2 linked regions of the Caenorhabditis elegans genome follow. The protein of the gene in region 2 purifies or fractionates together with the protein of the main gene of each other region. This does not show direct contact. Each region holds a gene or a part of one and is shown on either strand. Other genes may lie near its edges.

Evidence for each region.
Region 1: the proteins of M01G5.1 (region 2) and nmrk-1 fractionate together in Caenorhabditis elegans (co-fractionation; one large-scale study listed by BioGRID). This does not show direct contact.

Annotation. Positions count from the first base shown.
Region 1 is NC_003279.8:6,105,136-6,109,470, forward strand, and holds nmrk-1 (Molybdopterin synthase catalytic subunit), read right to left. Parts: upstream 2,581-4,335; coding exon 2,494-2,580; intron 2,351-2,493; coding exon 2,291-2,350; intron 1,866-2,290; coding exon 1,647-1,865; intron 1,601-1,646; coding exon 1,480-1,600; intron 1,435-1,479; coding exon 1,275-1,434; intron 1,226-1,274; coding exon 850-1,225; 3' UTR 728-849; downstream 1-727. Other genes in the region: T27A3.8 (NADH dehydrogenase subunit 4L), read left to right, coding at 167-335, 379-434; nse-1 (Phorbol-ester/DAG-type domain-containing protein), read right to left, coding at 3,161-3,464, 3,509-3,693, 3,739-3,910, 3,954-4,075, 4,122-4,222, 4,275-4,335.
Region 2 is NC_003281.10:1,494,504-1,499,488, reverse strand, and holds the start of M01G5.1 (Casc1_N domain-containing protein), read right to left. Parts: upstream 3,089-4,985; 5' UTR 3,084-3,088; coding exon 3,014-3,083; intron 2,963-3,013; coding exon 2,855-2,962; intron 1,395-2,854; coding exon 751-1,394; intron 1-750. Other genes in the region: ave-1 (SAM domain-containing protein), read left to right, coding at 3,564-3,714, 3,810-3,967; Y82E9BR.19 (F-box domain-containing protein), read left to right, coding at 4,159-4,242.

The sequences.
Region 1 (4,335 bases), on a different chromosome or scaffold from region 2:
TTCCTTCAAAAAACAGTAACTTTAGAAAAATGTATTTACCGTTAAAAAAAATCGCGGTTACGGTAGTTAGCAACGTTTTAGGACCACGAACCTTATGTTGATTCTGAAAATTGTCCTGTTCGAGAAATTATAGAATATCTTGAGATTTTTATTCTAAATGTTTCAGTTTATCTGTGAATTCCTTCTTCTATCACTTCATATCACCCGAATGATGTTATCAGTCAGCTTCTTATGGATGTGGGAATTGGCGATAAACACTGAATTATTGGATTTTCTTGGTATAATTATTTCAATTGTTATATCTACCAAAGTTCTTTTGCATATTTTTTCTTATGGTACACTTTTCCAAAATATTCCAATTTTAAAAATTATTTTCAGAAATAGTCTTCACTTTCAATTCGGAAGAATACGAGCAGCAAGTTGACTTGAATTGATGCTTTAAGAAATAGCATACGATGATTCAAATGGGTTGTATCTACGGGAGCCATGTATTAATGCAATAAATGATTTTCAAACAAAATTTTATAGAATAAAATGAAAAACTAGTCTCGGAGTGTTACCATAGTCTTTTGTCCTCACAATCATTCAGACAGGGATAACTCTTGGTCGTCATCGACGGCTGGGGGTCGAACCAGCGACCCGCTGCACACAAAACACACACGCTACCGGTGACACCATTCATGTCAGGTTCTCTTTGAAAAGAAGTGCAGTTATGAGGCGAAGGAGAAAAAGAAAACATTTATTCTCTAAAATTCTAGCTAGCAAGTTCATCTATTCAAAAATGTACAATGTACATATCACAAATAAGCTCATATCCATAAAAATTATAAAAAACATCTTCAGATTAAATCATTGTTTTGAATCTTCGATATTTGATTTCCAAACTCCGTCCACTTCTCCATTCGAGTATTCTTCGTATTTAAAGATTGGTGCATGCTCCTTCAATAAATCAATACATTTTTCAGTGGCTTGAATTGCAGTCTTCCGATGTGGTGAAGACGTGGAAATTATCACAGATGACTCTCCGATGTCTACTTTTCCTAGACGATGAAAAATCGCGATTTTCTTAACATCCGGATATTCCGCTCGAATTTCTGCACAGATTCCACGTAGCTTCTTGTATGCCATCAAGTCGTGACAATCGTAGGAAAGGTTGCTGACGTCACGACCTCCATGGTTATCACGTGTCACACCGTTAAAGGTGGATATTGCTCCACAGGAAGGGCTGAAATAGGAGAGGTTATTGTTGTTAGTTTGAAAAGATTAAAACATACTGACTAACAAGCTGATCCACAACCTTCACATCTATCACTTCATCAGTCAGTTTTATATGATCATCAAGGATTTGTTGTCTAAAGTTAACTATCGACTTGTTCTTGTCATCAAATTTGGACTCCGAGACATCGATGAATGTTAATCGGGAATCTGTGCGACCTTAAACAAAAAATGTTTAATTGGAAATTGGAATCAGACTCATACTTCTTTGCCTCGCCCTTTCTAAATGTCTAACATAAGCAGGAAAAGCGACGTTGACAAAATATCCAGGTGTGTCTGCAGGCACATAATCTGTTCGAGCTTCGCGTCTTCGTTTGCAGGTTTTCTGAAAAAGTTAGAAATTTTAATAATATTAATCGAAAGAATCTTACAAAATCCAGTGTCATCACAACTATCCGATCACACAGATCCACGATTTCGTCCATTTCGGTAATCATATTCCCGTCGATTATCACATTTTTATAAACTTTCGATTCATTGAGAATCCGTTGTCGAAACTGATCTATATTTATCGCTTCTTTTTCGTCAAAACTCCAATAATATCCCTCATCGGTGAGATGCTCAGCGTCCGGGTGGTAAATTTTTTCAACCTGAAATAACGTTTTTTTTTTTTGAAAAAAGTTTCTGAAACCCCAGACGCGAAATGTTGAGATTTTTCCGCTGAAAACACGGTACCCGGTCTCGACTAGACAATTTTCGTTCAATACAAACGGATGTGCGCCTTTAAAGAGTACTGTAATTAAAAACTTGTAATTTTCATTGATTTTTCATAGTTTTTCTCACAATTAATTGCAATTTTCTAAAATGTATTTGTTTTCAATTTTTTATTTTAGTTGTTTGTTACAAAACAAAGCTTAAACGACAAACTACAAAATCGATTAAAATTTCCTAGAGAAAAGTTTAAAACTACAGTACTCATAAAAAGGCGAGTCGAGCCCACTCTTTCTCTGTACGGAAATAAAGTTAATTCTGTGTTTTGTTTGTGATGGCTTTTTTTCGGATTTTCTAAACCAACCTCGTTTTCAGTTTTGTAAAATTCGTCTTGATTTATTATTGTAGTCTCGCCGGCACCAAACTGAAAATACAATATATTAATCGTTGTTGGACAGCCTCACAGAGTCTCAAATTTTGATGTAAAGTGTGAAGCACGATGAATTGCATATAAACTGCGTCTTACGAGAAAGCTAACATTGTTCCGACTTCTTTGTTTCAACTTACAAATCGTTGAAATTCCTTTGCTAACGTGGATTTCCCGGAATTTGTGCAACCGGCCAAAGCCAAAACATAGGCTTTTGTTGAGGTCATCTGTAAAATTCAAAAGTCTTCCAAAAATTGAAGCAGAAAAAAGCAAGCGGCTAGAAAAATGCAATCAATTCGAACAATAAAATCAATTGAATTATCAGAAAAAAATCGATGAATTTATCTCTTGCATTCTCGTGTGACGGGCCCGGTAGAAAACACAATGATAAGCAGAGGAAAGAGGAGATTAAAACTTTCAGATTTTCAGGTCAAAACCAGCAATTTCAGATTTAAAACGTGGTTATATCGGGAAAATTACATTCTAAAAAATGTTTCATTGAAGATGTATGCATGAAAAATGGGATGAAAATCGCGGGTGGGAAAAGTCAGTGAACCGGAGGGAAAAGGTGAGGTATTTGACACGTGTGTGGGAAGGTAGGAAAGTGAAGAGGGATGGATTCGGATTAAAATGCAGAGAAATAGGAATAAAAACCAGTCTACAAAAAACGATAGAAAAGGGAAAGCTTTAACTGAAAAAAATGTCTGTATTTCAAAACATCGTTTGGCAGAAAATAAAAAACAAAATCCAAAAAAATAGTCCAAAAAGAGTACACAGCCGAATTTTTTAAATAGAAATCCCTCTGCTTTATTCACTGTCACTGTCTGGAACTCGCTGGTTCCGCTTCCCTCTCGTCGGCCTAGGAGTTATGGTCATATCATCGTCAGAATCAACTGGAGCCGGCGTTTTCGATTTAGATTTCGCTCTTTGTGTCCTTGAAGGAGCTTTCGGAACATCTGAATCTGGTGAAGGGCTTCTAGCCACGGTGTCTCTCGATCGTGGAACACCTGTGGCCTTCTTGGTATCAATTTGCTTGAGAACCTCATTCAAAGACAGATTTTGATTGCATTTCTGACATTCAACGTTGTCTTGGTGAGAAATTATCGTTGCACTGAAATCCATTGTTTTTTTTGCTTTTCCCGGCAAACAACCTACTTTTTGAAGCAATTAAAATGACACAACGCATGACATTTCTGACATTCAGCAGTGTAAACCGATCGGGAAATGATTTTTCTGCACAGTTCACAAGTTTTGAGGTCTCCTGTAAACTTGGCACGAAGCCAGGGCTCCAGTTCGACTAGAATGCGTGGTGTGATCTCTGCAACTTCGTTTTCGTCGGTCTGAAATGCAAAATGCACTGATAACTATTATTGAATTCTTATTACCATTAAAAAATACCTTTGTCTCATCATTTTTGCCATGAAAATGTCGCATTTAGGGCCAGGCATTTTGCATGGTTCATGCCGAATTTGAGAATGAACCCAATCCATTTGAACGGTTCCATCTGAGGAAATCATTTCTTCGAGAATAACGAGAAGAAGAGCTCGCTCGACTTTTCTGCAACTTTCAATTGGAAACTTTATATTCAAAAAATTCTTACGTCAAATCGCTGGCTTCACTAATAACTGAAGAATTTCTTCCGCATCCTGTCATTGTGACAAACTCCGTTGGAGATTTTTCATCCGTAGAAATTACGAATCGCCACGGCCGGAACGGTTTTGGCTAGAATTTCAACTTTAATATCTGTTTCCCCATAAAAATTGCTCACCCCTTTTCCTTCATCGTCATTCATAGTTTTCACAATCAATTTCGAAAGTTGACGTGCTTCCTCTCGATTTGTCTGAATTTGCATTACAGTATCTGGATGTCCTGCAAACAAATTGTTTATTCCAATATTATTTCCCTTCTTAAAATTACAGACTTTTCCAGATAGCAGTGGTCAAATGCTTGGCGAACATCAGGTTCATCTTCTTAGCGCTCAT
Region 2 (4,985 bases):
GCGAATTTTCCATTGAAAATCTATGAAATTTCATAAATTTTGGCTCAAAAATTTACTTTTTCACCAATTATTCGATTTTTCAGCTGAAAATCAGTCAAATTTCCGGAATTTTGGCTTCAAAATTCAGGTTTTCACCAATTTTTCGATTTTTCAACTGAAAACTCGACAAATTTCCCGAATTTCAGTTCAAAAATTCGGTTCACACTGAATTTGCGATTTTTTTTTAACTAAAAAATCTTTAAATTTCATAAATTTCAGTTCAAAAAATCAGTTTTTCACCTAAATTTCGATTTTTCAACAGAAAATTCGTCAAATTTCCGGAATTTCAGTTCAAAAATTCAGTTTTTCACCGATTTTTCGATTTTTCAGCCGGAAATCGCTTCAATTTCCGGAATTTTTTCTCAAAAATTAGGTTTTATACTAAATTTTTGATATTTTAACTGAAAATTCGTCAAATTTCATAAATTTTTGATATTTTAACTGAAAATTCGACAAATTTCATAAATTTTAGTTCAAAAAATCAGTTTTTCACCAATTTTTTGATTTTTCAGGCGAAAATCGCTCAGAAACGAGTTTCTCACCAACTTTTCGATTTTTCAGCGGAAAATCGCCTAAATTTCCGGAATTTTGGCTCAAAAAATCAGATTTCAGCCTAAATTTCAGGTTTTTAACGCTGATTTTTTTTCAGATTTTTGCGATTTTTCACCGTTTTCAGGTCAAAAAATTCAGTTTTCCATCGAAATCTCACACCTTAAGCTCTCGCCTATTGCTGGTATGCTGAAACTCTCCAAAATACATTAAATTCGAGTACATCGCGTTCATTCTCTTCTGTTGTTGATGGGGAATTGTGGATCGATGCTCCGAACAGAGCACATCATACGGAGATGGAGCCCATGGCATTGAGTTCTTCACATTATACACTTTTTGATGCCGGCGGGGCTCCACGACGAGCTCTCCGGGCTCCAGGGAAGGCCCCTCTTTGGGCTCCGCCGCAACACCCAAAACCTCCTCCAATTCGTGAATTTTATCCAAATATTCCTGTTTTTCATCGTCTTTTTGCTGCTTTTTCTCCTGAATCTTCAGTTTTTCGTCCATTTTCTTCAATTTCTCGGCTTCCCGCTTCTCGTCAGTCTCTCGTTTCTTGATTTCTCGCGCAATTTTCTCGGCTTCAAGTCTCCGTTCTCGCTGCTTCTTCCGGAGCTCGCGGAGCACAATCCACGCCTCGACTCGTTCGATTCGCTTGAATTTCGCGATTTCGTGGCACATTCGTTCGTCTCCAAAGTCGGATTCTATGAGGAAATCGTCGAATTCTTCGGGTGTCATTTGTTGGTGAACTTGACGTTTTTGATATTTTCGCCACGCTTGGGGATCTGATTTCTCGGATTCTGGCATTTCTGGAAAATTTTCGACATTTTTTGGAAAAAATTGCAAGTTTTTCGGGAAAAAATGAAAATTTGGGCATAGCTTCCGCATCTCCGAGTGACAAATGTGCTCTATTGTCAAATTGTTGCCAGAAATACGGTATTTATTCACATTTTCAGCCAATTTATGGCGTAAAATGTGAATAAATACAGTTTTTATGCCAGAAATCTGAGAAACGCACAAGTCACAGGGGAATAAATAGTTCAGGAGGGTGGCTTTTCTGTAATTTTTCGATTTTTTCTGTTAAAATCTAATCAAATATATTGAATTTCGTTATTTACTGCTAGATATACTGTTTAAAAATCGATTTTATCAATAATTTTTTTAAAAATTGTTGAAAAATCCAAATGTACGGATTTTTCGGAGTTTTTCAACAAAAAATCGTTCGTATTTCTTAATTTTTCTGAAATTTTCAATATCAAATTTGAATTCTCCGCTCTTTTTCACTTTGAGTCGTTTTTTGTTCTAAATTTAACATTTTTTGCGGGGTACTGTAGCTTCAAAAGTACGCAAACACTGAAAATTGAACATTTTTCGACTTTTTCAGAAGTTTTCAAAGATGCTCACACTAAAATTCAAGTTCCCCGTTTAATTTCACCCCGGATGCTTTTTTTTGCCGGGCTTCTAAGCCTATTTTTGAATATCGAGGGGTACGGTAGCCCCGAAAGTACGCAAACACCGAGTATTACGTACTCGGCATCGAACTTTACGACAATTCGTCTAAATTGGCGGAAAACCGGGTTTCGGGGGTACAAAGTGACGAAGAAATCGAATTTCGTATTGAGAAATGCGAAAAATCAACAAAAAGTGCTGAAAATTACAAGTTTTTGACTGAAAATTGAAAATTTGGGCATAGCTTCCGCATCTCCGAGTGACAAATGTGCTCTATTGTCAAATTGTTGCCAGAAATACGGTATTTATTCACATTTTCAGCCAATTTATGGCGTAAAATGTGAATAAATACAGTTTTTATGCCAAAAATCTGAGAAACGCACAAGTCACAGGGGAAATAGCTCGGAAAATCCAATTTTTAGGTTTTTTTTCCAAAAATTTAGTTGTAATCAAAGTAATAATAGAAATAGCAAACTATTACGGAAAAAAATTCGGAAAAATTACATTTTTGTTCAATTTTATGTAAATTTTCCAGAAAACTGGCAAAAATTAGCAATTTCCGTTGTTTTTTTCGTAGAATTTCAAAGTTCTTCTTAAAAAATTGAATTTTAAGTAGTAATAAGTCTCAATTTCTGGAGTTTCTAATGAAAATCGGTTGACTTTACTGAAACTCTAAAACATTATGATTTCTAGTGAGTTTTTGCTACAAAATTTAACAAAACAGCCGCTATTTTCTGGCTTTTGCAGTATTTTCAACAAATTTTCGAGTTTTTAATTCGAGAAAATGCCACAATTTCCGGATTTTCCCAAAATCCCTTACTAATCCAGGGCGGTGGAGCGTCTGGAAATAGCATTTCGCGGCCTCCAAACTGTTTTCTGGGATTTGTGATACAATCCAGACAGCACGTGAGCACATGATCGGCGATTTCTGGAATTTTAGGGAAATTTAGGATTTTTTTTCGAATTTCAAGCTACAAACCATCATATTTCTTGTCCTGCTTGAGCTGCCACATGATTTGGCATCGAATTTCATTATCATCGGGCTCCATTTTGGCTGAAAAACTGGATTTTTAGCTGAAAATCGGCGAATTTCGGGGAAAATATTTAAATAAATAAAACAATTTCGAAAATAATTGTCGTAGAATTGAATGCCTCTTACGCGGTTCACGCTGCACAGAACAGAAACTACCGTACTCCAAACAAAGTTTTAAAAAACAAAATAAGCTCCAAATATCGAATTTTCGTTTTTTAATAGTTTTTATTAACATTTGAAATCTTAAAATAATTATTTCCCAGCTTTTATTACGAAAATCGCGAAATTCTCTTTTATTTCCGCGTTTTCTGCATGTTCCCTTAAATTTCGAAAACCAAAGCAAGCGCGCTCCACTGAGACCCGGCGCGAGAGAGCGTGAGAATCGAGGAGACGCAGAGACAATTCATTTTTATTTTTATTTTATTATTATTTTCCACCATTTTCAGCCCATTTCCCCGATTTTTCGCCGATTTTCTCGAATTTTTCGGCGAAAAAAATGACAACAAACGTGCAAGAGGTGTACCACGTGGTTTCGCACCGTCCGATATACTTTTGGTCGGCAAACGACGTTGATCAGTGGCTTCGGAGGAAACGGCCACGTTTTGCGCTGAAATACGCTCATTTCTTCTTGCGACACAATGTTACAGGTGAGAAAAAGAGAAAAATTGACCAAAAAATTCGATTTTTCACCGAAAAATCGATTTTTTCCGGAAAAAAAACCCTAATTTCCTAATTTTTTCAGGCAGAGTGCTCGTGGAGATGTCAGATGACGATCTACGCGAAATCGGAGTGGAAACTGACGACGAGCGACAGGATTTGCTGCTGGAAATCAAAAAAGAGAAGCTTTACAGCGATTTAGACGAATTCTCGAAGCTACGGACACCTCCGACGGCGATTTAGCCTCGAAAAGTACCCCGGAAAACCTATAAAAATGTACATAAATTGCATATAAAATTATAAAAAATAAAAATCGCCATGTTTTATTCTGTATTATGTGGATTTTTTCGCTTTTTTACGCGTTTTCTCAAGAAAATCGCTGAATTTACCGCTTACTCCAATGATTTTTCAGAGTTTTAGGGATTAATTTTCAGATGGAAGCTTTTGATTTGGGTGCAGATGAGCTCGCCGAGCAACTCGGCGATTTCGAGCCTTTTGTGGCCGATTATAGTGGAAAGGTAGCGATTTTCTCGCAAAAAATGAGAAAAAACCGCTGGAAATTTCTGTTTTTCAGCTTAAAAATTCAATTTTTCAAGCGAAAATGTTCAGATTCACTGGAAAATTCAGTTTTAAAAGCCTAAACTCGGAGAATTTTCAAAATTTTTTATAGAAATTCATGGAAAATGATCGGAAAATACCCATTTTTCGGGTTTTTTAATTTAAAATTATAATATTTAGGGCTAAAAGTCAGATATTCAGATTCAAAAATGGCGGTTTTACGTGAATTTTATCCAAAATTCAATAATTACCAAATGAAATATTTTTTAAAACCCTAAAATTTTAAATTTTAATCTTAAAAATCAATTTTTTTCAATTTCCAGCCAAAAATTATGGAATTTCTTGGCAAAATCCCCAATTTTCCAGATATTTCCTCAAACTTGTTTTGAACAACTGATTTTCTGCCCAAAAATTCGGTCATTTTAGCTATAAAACTAGATTTTTAAGTTTTCTTCGAATTTTGCCCATTTTTTGCTGCTTCAAAATGATTTTAATAATATTTCTAGTGATATTTCACCAATTTTCAGTTAAAAATTGAAATTCTCACTCATTTTTACCCCTAGATATTGCTTTTTTTGCACAAAATATATTGATGGCCTAACTTTTGGGATTTCTAGGCCACTAATCTGAAAATCATGGTTTCTAGCCATTTTTCATCGATTTTTTTTGGGGTTTTATTTCAAATAATGTTAATGAAAACGAT